2 linked regions of the Oryzias latipes genome follow. The protein of the gene in region 1 binds, or shares a complex with, the protein of each later gene. Links are inferred from orthologs where the notes say so. Each region holds a gene or a part of one and is shown in the gene's direction. Other genes may lie near its edges.

Region 1 (6,763 bases):
AAGAGCTGAAAAGGGATTCTGGAGTGCAGAATGGATGAACGCTGCATTCTTCTTCAAATCTGTGTTTGCTCCTCACCTGTACCTTTGAAGCCAACTCAGTCTCTAACGCATAGGTAAAATATTCATGAAGCTTTAAGAGTTTCTGTTCAGTCCAGAGAGCAACTCTCTCCACTACATGAACCCAACCAGTCAGTCTTCAGGGGCCAATGATTCCTGAGGAGCAGGAGAACACGTCTGTATCGATCGCACAGCCTTGTGGGAATGGGAACGAGCAGCTGCCACCGCTCTGTTCACCTGACCTGAACTCCGTCAAATGAATAACTTGGGTTTGGAAACTGAAGTGTAAAACGACACAACAAATGGTCGCTGAACATGCATTCAAGTCATTTGTACAGCTGTTCTACTTTTTCATTAAAATATGAAAAACTGGACTATAATGATACCAGTCAAAATGATCAACCTACTACTCTGAAAGGAGATTACTGGTCTAGCACTAAATGCACAAACTAGAAGATCCACATGACCTCCCAGCAACAAGTGTACCTGAAGGACCACATGGTGTTCACCTGGGATTAAGGGACATTCTCTGTCAAATACTAAGAGAAAAGGTGTAAATCAACAATTCCGATGATCAGAGGGAAAGTGGTTTGTCAGAAAACTATTAATTGTCCTTTGAAAATGAATAAAAAGAATTCCTCCCTTAGACTACGGTCCCAAAAGTTTTCCTGGTGAGGGTTTGGTCTAGGTACATAGGTTTTTATTTGCCATCGTTGGTAAAACCCAACTTAAACAGTACTCTGGTCAGTGAAACTTTCAAACATTTAATAATTTGCTGTCATTGTCATTGAAAACAAGAAATCATAACCAATTAAATGGGAGCTAATTAAAAGTACATCTAATATAAAAACAACAATGACAAGAGTGTTAAAATAGTCGAAAACCAGAATTAAACGTCATATGACCACAGTACATGAAAAACATCCACTATTGGACAGTTTCAGCAGGCGCAGATTGTCCTTTTAATTCCTCCTTAACTATTCTAGGCACTATTTATCCTAGCCTTGTGCTATCCTAGGCACTTTAACATTGGGAGTTGGGTCATGTAGACCCACTAGACAGTGCGCTGAACCTTTTTTCTTCAATGATTTGTGATCTTCACTGGTGTCCATGGATTACATGAAATCTTTCCACCTTTGTCATGGTAGGGAGAACACGTCAATGTAAGGGTGGGGTCATCTGGACCCCATAAGATGCAGTGTCCTCTATTGATCTGTTTTCCCTCTTTGCCAACAAAAAAAAAGGCAGCTTTTGTTTTGTTTTTTCAATGCTCCCCACATGTAGACTACTCTTTTTTTATGTACGTATTTTTTTTACTGTATTAAAGTACACATCATCACATCACCAAGCAGACCATCAGATAGCAATAACCAATATTATCTTTCAAAAAAAGAAATACAGAATATAAAAGATTAATGAGGAAATAGTTAACAAAAAGGAAAATTTGCAAGTACGAAATTAAAACATTAAATATATATGTATAGGTAAAAAAATTATGTTTACAAAAAATTGCCTTGGATGTATTAATATTTTTAAGAAATTTGACAAATCTCTTATCCTAAATCCAGTAAATTTGGGAGTTTTTTTTCTCTTACTTTGCCCTTTTGTATGAAAAATTTAGGTAGGAGAAGCAACAAATTAATAACGTTTTCTACCATTTTATCACCAAAGTTAAAATGTGTAGAATTTGTTTGAAATGTATTAGTTTACTTTGTTTCTTTAAATTGTTCTAAACGGATCCAGAAGTGAAAGGATGTACAACAGTAGAAAAGGTGATGAACTGATTTAAGTAAAACTACAGTTATTTTCTATCTATCTTTAGAATTTAGAAATGAACATATTTGTGGGGTAAATGTTATTTGAAATTCTTTTATGTATTTCTTTAACTTTATTGTTTATTCAAAATGTATCTGGCAGTAACCATGCTTTTTTTCCAATTGATATAATTTAAAATATGGTTCCAATAAATTTCTCCTTTAGGTGTTATGCTTCTTTTTTCGCTAAAAGTATTATGTGTTTGTTGTTGCAATTTTTTGATTGAAAATATCAATACCATTAAGTGTTAAAGGAGGGTGTATTTCAGATTCCTCGTGATATTTAAGGTTAGAAGTCAGTAGTTGAATTACTCCTGAGACAAGAGCTTTCATTACACTCTTGAATTCTTTGCTTGTTACTGGAAAACACATTTTATTGAAGAACCTGTCATAATCGATGGCTGCCATTCTCATCAAAAAGATCAAATTTTTGATGGTTATATCATCATTGTTCCAAGTTATACTTTTGTTTGGTGAGAAATAATGTGCATAGCATAACGTCCAGGCACGACAAAACTTGCAGATACAAATTTTAAAGATTGACAGGAGTCTTTCTGATATTTACATTTAAAAAGAAATTGAAGACCCCCGATTTTATTATAAAATATTAAATGGGATAAAGTACCAAATTGATTTTGAGTCTTAAAGGCCTTTTTGAATCCAGTAACCATTAAATGTATAATTCAAATCTGAGAAATGTAGGAGTTCATAACCTCCTTTGCATGAGGGGGCATAAAATAGTTCTTTCTGAAGATAGTGACGTCTATTTTTCCATACAAAGTTAACTAAGAGGTTGTTTATTTCTTTGGAAGTTGAACAGAAGTAAAGATAAGGATAGATTAGGAGAAATTTCTCTTGAGATACCTTTCGCTTTAGCCAAGAGGATCCCGCCAAAAATAGATAGATCTATTTGAAGCCACATATTCATGACATCTTGCATTTTTTCTAATTCTCAAGGAGAAGTTTTGTGTTTGTCTAGATTTTCTGTCCATTGTTATACTGGTGCCTAAATATGTAACTACATTTTTAACAGGGATACCATGTTTTTCTTTAACCATTTTAACCTTTGTGCTATCCTAGGCACTTTAACATTGGGAGTTGGGTCATCTAGACCCACTAGACAGTGCTCTGAACCTTTTTTCTTCAATGATTTGTGATCTTCACTGGTGTCCATGGATTACATGAAATCTTTCCACCTTTATCCACCTTTGTCATGGTAGGAAGAACACGTCAATGCAAGGGTGGGGTCATAGGTTAGCACGAGGGTTAACTTTTTAATAATATTTGACATTTAACTAAACTAAGACGTAATCTCTATTGACGTAATCCAGAAGCGTTTGAAAAATAATTAATTATACTTGTATCAAGGTCAATGTGGTTTCTGTCTATTAAGAATAATGCAGTATCATCTGCTTGCTGTGTTATTTTGATTTCCTTTGAAAAATGGATAAACCTAATAAACAAGGACAATTTGGTATGCAGGAGTTTTCAAATCAAAACGTGCAACGTGCTTGCGTCACTACAGGCTCCGCCCTCCTTTGGGAACGCGCACATTCCTATTGTCCAAGATGGCGGCGCTGGTGCAGCTCTTGTGATGCTGACATGTTTTTAAAGGCTTCTCCTCTTTTCCCCGTAAATGTGTGACCACTCGGAGCCCGCTCTGGAAGCGCCCCCTAACCGAAGCAGCCTGCGCCGCCGCCGTCTCCGAGCTAACGCTCCCGGAATCCGCAGCAGCGCCGGATCTCCGCTGCAGGCTCGGAAAAAAAGTTGAAACTCTCCATCATTATTGGAAAATGAAGCGGCAGGCCGTGAGAGACGGCAGCCCATCCAGGGCCCTAGCCAAGCGGATTCGAGAGAGAGAACGGGAGAGCGCCCGCAGAGAGGAGCTGCCGCCGCCGCCGCCGCTGGCTCTGCTGCTGGCGGAGAGCCGGAGCTACCACCGGCGGAGCCGCAGCAGGGAGCGGGAGAAGCCGCGCCTTCGGGAGGAGCGCGCGGCCGCGCTGGAGCTCCACCACCGACACGAGCTCAGCCTCCTGGGCCGGCCGCCGCTGCGGGCCGCGGAGCTCCCCGCCGCGAGACCCGGCACGCTGGAGTACAAAACGCTGCTCATCAGCAACCTGGGCTCGCAGGTGTCGGACGAGGACGTCGAGGACGCGCTGTTCCACGAATTCAAAAAGTTCGGGGACGTGAGCGTGAAGCTGTCGCACACGCCGGAGCTCGGCCGCATCGCCTACGTCAATTTCAGACAGCCGGAGGACGCCAAGGAGGCCCGGCACGCCAAGTCCTCCCGGCTGGCTCTGGGTGATAGACAGCTCAAAATAGAGCCCATGTACGTTAGGAGGCGGAGCGTCACCCCCCCGGACGTCAGCTATCTACCTTTACACGCCCCCTATCCGTACAGACAGCGCTCCTTGTCCCCACCCGGGACCGGCGTGAGCAGCATGCGGGACCTCCGGGCCAGACACTTTGCGCTGGAGAGCCTGGGTCTGAGCAGAGACCGGGAAAGGCTGCTGGACTATTATGGTATGCTGGATGAGAGGGGGCGGCCCTACGCGTTCCCCCCCATGCCTGTAGTGGAGGACCTGAAGCCCGAGGATGACCAGAGGGCCACCAGCAACCTGTTCATCGGAAACCTGGACGGGAATGTGACGGAGGCTGAACTCAGGAGAGGGTTTGATAAATACGGCATCATTGAGGACGTGGTCATCAAACGGCCAGCACGCGGCCAGGGCGGGGCTTATGCCTTTGTAAAGTTTCAGAACCTTGACATGGCCCACAGGGCCAAAGTGGCCATGCAGGGCCGTCTTATTGGTGGAAACCCAATTAAAATCGGATACGGCAAAGCCAACCCCACCACCCGACTGTGGGTGGGCGGTCTGGGACCAGGAAACTCGCTGACCGCTCTGGCGCGGGAATTTGACCGCTTTGGAAGCATTAGGAACATTGACTATGTGAAGGGCGACAGCTTTGCTTACATCCAGTATGAAAGTTTGGATGCAGCCCAGGCCGCCTGTACCCAGATGAGGGGCTTTCCTCTGGGCGGGCCAGAGCGCCGCCTCAGGGTGGACTTTGCTAAAGTGGAGGAGAGCCCCTCCCGCCCATTTCCCCCTGGTTACCAGCTTCCTGTGCCTCCCCCCACGCATTATGACCTCCTTGGAGAGGCCTACAGTCGCCATCGCAGCCTGGAGCGCGAGCTGAGAGGAACCAGGGAGCGCTCCTCACCGCCCTCCCACAGCCTCCTCTCTTTGAGAGAGAGGGTCCTGCTGGAGAGAGAGTTTCCCAGCAGCCCCACCCGAAGCCTGGACAGGAGGGTGGGAGGAGTGGAGGCGTTTGGAAGAGCTGGCCGAGGGGCGAGGAGCCGCAGCAGGAGCAGGGAACGCTGGCTGAAGGAGAGGGAGGAGAGGAGGAGCCGCAGGAGAAGCAGAAGTCTGTCTGTCGACAAGCAGTCGGAGGAAAAGGAGAAAGAAAAGGGAAGGTCGAGGGTTCGAGTTCCGGGAGGCACCGCCTCCCCTGATGCAAGCCCAGACCGAGCACGGGTTCGAGCCCCGGACTCCACCACTGAGCCAAGAGACCACTCCCCTGACAGTGGTGGAGGGGGGCGACACGCAAATGCCACAGAGGAAGAGCCCCCATCCAGCCGTCACCACAGCAAGAGGTCCGCGAGCGTCAACAACCACCATCGAAACAGCGACGTGGCCGCCGCCAGCCCCCCCGCTGCCCACACGGACACCTCGTCCACCCTGAGCTCGCTGTCGGAGTACGCCCAGGGCTCCCTCACCAAGGTGTGGCAGGGCTTCTTTGCCTTGAAGAACAGCAGCTTCCCCACGGAGCTGTACATGCTGGAGGGAGGGGCCTCCTTCCTGAGCGGCGTTTTGAAGGACAGCCTGAATCTGCAGAACCGGAACCAGCCAAGCCAGTTGAAAATTGCCCAGCGCCTGCGCATGGACCAGACCCGGCTGGACGAGGTGTCGCGCCGCATCAAGCTCGGCCGCCCTGACGGCTTTGCCATCCTGCTGGCTCTGCAGGGCGCCATCGACCGCCAGGCCCCCGCCCCTGAGCCGGGACTGCAGATACGTCTGCTCCGGCACCTGGTGACATACCTGCGCAACAAAGAGGCGGCGGGGGTGGTTGGTCTGCCTGCCACCAAAGAGGGGGGCACGGGTGGGATGCTGTACGCCTTCCCCCCCGGTGAGTTCTCACAGCAGTTCCTGCAGGCTGCCCGGAGGACTGTGGGTAATCTGGACGAGGAGCACATGGTCATTGTGATCGTCAGCGACACTAATTGAGTCTGGTGCCGGCTCAGTCCCACACTACAAGTCCTTCCATGGTTTGCTGGGGGGCGTGTTTTGACTCCTCTGTCGAGGTTCCCCTCCGACAGTCACGCCGGGACGCATTCAATTAAAAAAAGCAGAAAGGTCGTCGCCCCGACAGGCAGCACGCCGCCCTTTCTGCTTCAGGTGGAACTGAGAACACTAATGCCTAGCCTGATGGTTTCTATGCTTCATACTTTATGTGTTTGTATCCTGGTGTCACCTGACCTGTGCCGACACCTCCAGTGACATGGAGACTTTCTGCAGAGCAGCTGGACTGTAAGCTGATGCCGGCTGATCGAGTCTCTCCTCTCTGGACTCTACCAACTTTTTATTTATAGTTCAAAGGCTCCTGGGCCAGTAGACAGAGTCCCGGCCGTCCTAACCACTCCGCCGGTGTTTTTATCAGATCGCTCATTCCACACTTCACTTTGCTTTTTATGGTGCCAGAGTGTTTTCTCTGTTGTTGCATGGACTAGAATGAATTTCTATGGATAAAGATGTAAACTACCTTGTGGAGACGTTTTAAAAAAATATTTTCGAGTCGTACTGTTTCAATTTTTCTTTTTTATTGTGGACATT
Region 2 (6,469 bases), on another chromosome or scaffold:
GTTTGTAATCATTCTAGATGAGAACAAGTTGTGGTGGTTTGCAAGCTTTTACATCCAAATATTTAAAGTATTTTCTTTCTTATCACTTTTTAGATGTGGATACTGAATCGCCTGTTTGCTATTTTAAAACGACACTAGAGTGAAAGCAGCTTTTACTTAAAGCCTCGGATGAAAATTGTGTTTTTGACATGTTCTTGTGGGGTTTTTCTAATGGAAGAGGACATATTTAAAGACAGTTAGGCTTAAAGTTGCATTTCTAAGTATTTCTTTATTCAAATCATGAATCAGGAGTGGTTGGTAAAATTCTGCTACATAGGAAAATAGACTGATCTCTGATCTGCTGCATTCTGATCCATCCACTTGTAGGCAGATCCACGTGCGTCTTTGTTTTCCTCGCCTGAGCTGGCATCAGGCTCAGAACTCGTCTGGAAGGCTCCAGTATTGCTCACGATTTTTGTTGCGCTGGTAATGTTAGGTTGAGTCTGTGAAGGGCTGTAAGCTAGCAGGAGAGAGCGATAACAAATGGGTGGAGAAGCAGAGGCAAATTTCTAACGAACAACTGCCTTTCTGCAGAAAATATGTCCTTTAAAATAAAGATATTTTTTACATAATTTTTTTCTACAATTACTTTGTTTTTATATTCTATTTCCTTTTAAGATTACAATGCTATTGTAACACACAAATTTCCCATGTGTGGGATCAATAAAGTGATTCTGATTCTAAAAACAACATAAGCGTAATTACAAGACCACTGGGAAAGTTTTTAAAATCACTCAAAAGAGGATCGAAGTGGGACTTAAAACTAAGCGTCTAGACGCAGATTAGCCTAGATTTTGATCTATTTGAAAGCAGTTTTGTTACATTTTTAAAGGGAAGATGTTTAGGTGTTAAAAGCAGCTTCATAATGTGTGTGACTGGACTCTAACACCTGCCTGTTGCCTCCTACAGACACAGATCCAGTACCTGAAGCAAGTCCAGCAGCCGAGTGCAGCCCAGCTGCGGTCGTCCATGGTGGATCCAGCCATCAACTTGTTTTTCCTCAAAATGAAGGCTGAACTGGAACAGACTAAAGACAAACTGGAGCAGGCCCAAAATGAACTGAGTGCCTGGAAATTTACACCTGATAGGTAAAGACAATCAAAATATCTCCCCCCACCTAAAAAAAAAACAAAACAAAAAAAAAGTCAAGACTTCCTCACGTCCCCCAACCTCACTCTCACTGCAGGCATGCAGGAGCAATGGTGGGGGGGGGGAGAGGCTGACAAAAGCTGTGCTCACCGCGAGGCTCAGACTTGACAGAAATCCAGACACTCCCAAACCAAACTGCTTTTGCACTCTCGCACCGTGCCAGCTACACATCACACAATTTAAAGAGAAAAGACAGTATGGTCAGGTGACACTTGTTTCGGCTCTCTCCTCTTATATCCCCCCGCCGTCCAAAGGGCCCGATGGAGTCCGGACTGCTCTGAAGAGGTGGTCTCTCATTTCTCCACATGGAACTGCCTTCCATGCCCCCTCAGACAGTTCACATATTAAGTAGGGGGTCATGGGAGAAGTTGTGTCCGGCAGGGAGCATCCCTAGCCTAAAGCGGCAATCGAACATTTAAAAGACATTTAAAAAGAAAAAAGACATTTAAACTGTGGATTGCTTCACATAAACAGTAGCTGTCCTGAGAATTTGAAAGACTTTTTGGACTCTCAGATACATTTGAGTAACACCAGGAAAGTCTCTAGAATTTAAAAGTCAGAGACATTAGAAATGACAGTAAGACTGAGCGGAGCAAGTTGACAGAAGAACCACGTTCAGGCGTGAGGGTCTGCTGTCTTTGAACACGGGCCTGCACACGGTAGTGTACTTTTGTTTTAACCTTGTAATGTGTTTTTTGTTTCTTTTCTTTTTTCTTTGATTGACATTCCATTTGATCCTTCTTGTTTCCCTTAGACTCTTACTGCAGTGTGTGAATCCTGCAGCACGACGATCTTCTTTGACTTTGTTGTGAATGTTTTTTTTTTTTTGCACAAGTGACACTTTGGGATGATCGCATATCCAGTTATTGCCGTAGGTGTGTTGAGTCCAGTAACTGAGTTGTAAACTGCAAATGTCCTTGGCACATTGTGTTACGAGTTGACCGAGATGTATTTATTCATTCTGTGTACTGTTTTTGATTGACCTAATCATTTTCCCCACAGCTTAATAACAAAAGAGTTACTCTTTATTTTTATTTTTTTTCATCGCCAGTGTGGTGAGATACTTGTGGACTTTTTGTTTGTACACTAAAATAATTAAGTCACGGTTCTCACCAGGTGAGATAAGAAATGTTTGACATTTATAGGGGTTTTACAAACATTTTCTTTCAACACAGGAAAGAGAAAACTTCAAATTCAAACCAGTATGATGAAAGTTAGAATTACTGAAAATGATGATAAAAAACTTTGGAAGTTTTTATTTTGTTGTTGATATAACATTAAGGCTCTGTACTTGGTATGGGTGACTTAATTTAATATAAAGGGAATGGAAGACATTTAATTATGGTCTACATGTCATTTTTGGATTCACTTTGGCTTCTTGAGTAGGGCACAATGACATGTCACCGTACTGTTTCAGACTTTTTGTGAAGCCAGCAGTATCAAGAGCTAACTGTACTGTGAAAAAAACTGCTCTTTATGTTTTTAAAAAAAAAAAGGATTGCATGACCTTTTCAACAAAGATTTCAAGTTTGAAGGTTCTTTTGTGGGTTTTTTTTTAAATCAAGATTTGACTGTGCTTTGTTTATAACTTTTTTTCCACATCCTGAAATATTTCCGATTCTAATTTTCTCATGCCTTTATTTTTTAGTATTAACCGTTTTCTATGTATAACACAATAACGTAGTTTAGAGTAAAACGATAGAATCGAAATGCCTTAAAAGTCAGAGCATCATTTAGGTTCATGGTTTCATATGTCTGTATTGAACAGGCATCAGACGGCATGTTTAGGTTACTTCAGACGTCTAACTGATGGAATGAAAATGCTTAATAATAGCTGTTAATGACATTGAGGAGTTCCTGGTAAACCCTTGGACAGCTGGAGAGTGAAGAGGAACAGGTCCATGCTAACATTCTGCCTGTTTTCACTTGGTTCACTGTGTGATGTGAGACTTGTTTCCCTTACAGCCAAACAGGGAAGAAACTGATGGCCAAATGTCGAATGCTGATTCAGGAAAACCAGGAGCTGGGGCGGCAGCTATCGCAGGGACGAATTGCCCAGCTGGAGGCTGAGCTGGCCCTGCAGAAAAAGTACAGCGAGGAGCTCAAGAGCAGTCAAGATGGTGAGGAAACGAAAAGCTCCCGTACCCAAATGTCCTCTGTGCATAGATTAAACTAAGCTTATTCTTACTTTCAGAGCTGAATGATTTTATCATCCAGCTTGACGAGGAGGTGGAGGGGATGCAGAGTACCATCCTTGTCCTGCAGCAACAGTTGAAAGAATCCCGTCAGCTGATTTCTCAGTCTCAGGGGCTCTCAGCCGGAGCAGAGCCCAGCAGGACTTCACCCGCTGCTTCCAACTCATCTGCTGAGCTGTCCACAATACAGGAGCCCAGCGCTGCCTCTGAAGCAACAAGCAGAGACTACGGGAGGGTGTCCAATGGTCCAAGCAATGGTAAGTCATCTCAGAGGAGGGAGACCACCACCCCACCCAACTTATACCGGGAAGTCAGTAGCACTGAGGAAGATTTCCCAATGTCCCCCATGGTGTCCAGCCCTGGTGACGCTGAGACCAAACTCTCCAACCACTCATCGGAGGTCCCCGGCAGTCAGACTGCTTCCAGGAGAGCTGGAGGACCTGTGGGTTTCGGAAACCAGCTGAGTGCGGGCTACGAGAGCGTGGACTCTCCAACAGGCAGCGAGACGTCATTAACTCAGCACTCGAATGACACAGACTCGACCACTGATCCCCATGAAGACAAGACTGCCTTGGTGACCAAAGGCGCTAGGACTGCAGGGTCAAGGAACACTCAGAATGGCCTGGAGGGCAACACGAACGCTGGTGCCGATTTGTAATGTACTTTAGAAAGTACTGTCTTTTTTTGTCTTTTTTTTATACAATCTACAAACAAGACAAAAGCTAAATAGTATGTGATGCAGCACTGCTGTCCAAGAAGTTTTTTCACTCTTGTCCCATTGTGTATCTTGATGCCTTTGTTACATTTGTGTAGCTTAACAGGGATATAACAACAAACACTAAATGTTCAATTTGAATTGTGTGGGATTTATGTTTAAAAAAACTTGAGGTTTCACTGGTGTTTATTTGGGCACATCATCTATGCCGTTAAGCTCATGACACTGAAATCCAGCATCTGGTGTTGTTAATCATTTCAAAAGGTGTTTGAATGACAGTAGTTTCACCAATACAAAGAAAGCAAGAACGTCATTTTTATGTTGGCCTCTTTTTTTTTTTTTTTTTTTTTACTTGGTTGGTTTTTTTAAATACAATTTTTGTTTTAAATTGGAAAAAGTTATGTTTGATAGACTTCTAAAATGTGAGTTCATATGTGTCATTCATATTCTGACTTCAACCCTTTTATGTACTGACCAAAAACAATAAAGATTTCTAATACTTTGATGGGGGAACTCGTTATATTTGTCACTGGCACCTATCATGAAGTACAAAATTACATAAGTATAAATTAAACACATTCAAGTAGTTATTTTTATGAGAGAAAAATATGAACGCAAAGCTAATAAACTTTTTTTATGCACCATTTGGGTTGTTTAAACATCCCTGAAGAATGAAAACAGTATTGTAAATAGTATTTACGGAAGTTCATTTTCAAAGACTTGCTATGAATCCTCCAGACCAGTTGGTGGCGCTGTTTCTCATATCAAGGGACTTGCATAAATACCATTCATGCGTTCGTTCATTCAGTTCAGTATCAACTGAGTCGTGTGTAAGTGAACTGACAGAAAGATTTCCTGAAGACTAAAGCTACTCCAGCATTCTGAACAAGATGAACGCCGAGCCTGTTGTTATTGTTTCTGCTGCACGTACTCCAATTGGTAACGTAGCTCATATATATTTACCATGATTTCTTTCATTTCATAGTCCCGTGAATCATATTTCGAATATTTTGTCAAGCCAACACAACATGAAAACATTTTGCATTTCTAACTGAATTGGTTTTACGCTTATCATGTACTTTTTTGTGGTACTTTCCTTCATGTTAAAGGTGTCTTTTGTAAATAGGAAGGTGGTTGTGTCCAACGCGCTGTGTATTTGCAAAGTTACGATTGGCTAGCTCCTGTGTCCGCAGTTTTCTCTTGTTTCTGATTGGCTGGCAGTCATAGGGCCACGGAACACAAGTTTGCTATGATTGGCTGTTCACTGAACGTCTGTGTGACGTAGGGCTCTAATCTTTACTCCTTTTATTGAATCACGATAATTTGGAAAAAAAAGATAGAGCCGTTAAACTGTAAGTTTATAACAACATAAAGTTTAAATATTGTTATTATTTTTACACACTAGTTCCATCGCCTTTTTCTCATTTAATTTATTTTTAAAGTTCAGCCTGGACAGACAGAGGACAAACATGATGAAGGAATGTGAACAAGTGAATCTTCTTTAGTCATGTTATTTTTTTGAAGTAAAGTTCAAAAGATTCATTCTAAGGCAATGTGATAAAGAACTTGCTACAGTGTAAATAATTCAATGCAATAATTTAACTAAAATAGTTAATTAAAAAACAAAATTGTGTGTTTGTATTGGTTTGTTAGTTGTGCTTTTATTTGGTCAATGCTATTCCTAAGGTTAGTATTTCTCAGTGAACTTGTATTTGGTGTTGACTAAAGGCGTTTATGTTTTAAAACAGACAATACTCCTTATAGCCTATTGTCATCACTTCTTTGTTTAATGAAGGATGTCTGAACGGTGCTCTGTCCACACTGTCTGCAAGTGACCTGTGTTCAGAAGTCATTAAGGATGTTCTAAAGCGAGCTGGAGTGAAACCAGAAGAGGTCTCTGAGGTTGTTTTGGGCCAAGTCTTAACTGCAGGTAAATACTTGAAAAGTCTGTAGAGTTTCAGACTGGAGACAAATTCCAAACTTTTCTTTGTTTCAGGGCAAGGGCAGAACCCTGCACGACAAGCCAGTGTCAAGGCCGGTATCCCATATCTTGTCCCAGCATGGAGCTGCCAGATGGTGTGTGGTTCTGGGCTGAAATCTGTGTGTCTGGGAGCTCAATCCATCCAAGCAGGAGAGTCCACTGTAGTTGTCGCAGGAGGCATGGAGAGCATGAGCAGGGTACGCACTAATAGCAGTGTTGATAAAAGTTTAGGAAGCCTTCTCAACAATATTTTTTGTTTCTTTTTAGGTTCCTCATACAGTGCAAATGAGAGCAGGCGTGAAGATGGGAGACGTTTCTCTCCAGGACTCCATGGTTGCTGATGGACTAACAGATGCCTTCCAGGGATACCACATGGGCATTACAGGTCTC

What was found. The genes of interacting proteins can lie anywhere in the genome.
Region 2: rbm15b (region 1) and wtap share a complex: the UniProt entries of both Homo sapiens proteins name them as parts of the WMM complex. The link is inferred for Oryzias latipes from reciprocal best matches to the Homo sapiens genes RBM15B and WTAP.

Annotation. Positions count from the first base shown.
Region 1 is NC_019863.2:6,225,601-6,232,363, forward strand, and holds the start of rbm15b (putative RNA-binding protein 15B), read left to right. Parts: upstream 1-3,105; 5' UTR 3,106-3,664; coding exon 3,665-6,157; 3' UTR 6,158-6,763. UniProt on the Homo sapiens protein: RNA-binding protein that acts as a key regulator of N6-methyladenosine (m6A) methylation of RNAs, thereby regulating different processes, such as alternative splicing of mRNAs and X chromosome inactivation mediated by Xist RNA.
Region 2 is NC_019882.2:7,320,085-7,326,553, reverse strand, and holds the end of wtap (pre-mRNA-splicing regulator WTAP), read left to right. Parts: intron 1-948; coding exon 949-1,127; intron 1,128-3,153; coding exon 3,154-3,308; intron 3,309-3,382; coding exon 3,383-4,041; 3' UTR 4,042-4,603; downstream 4,604-6,469. Other genes in the region: acat2 (acetyl-CoA acetyltransferase, cytosolic), read left to right, coding at 4,989-5,037, 5,894-6,028, 6,095-6,276, 6,347-6,464. UniProt on the Homo sapiens protein: Associated component of the WMM complex, a complex that mediates N6-methyladenosine (m6A) methylation of RNAs, a modification that plays a role in the efficiency of mRNA splicing and RNA processing.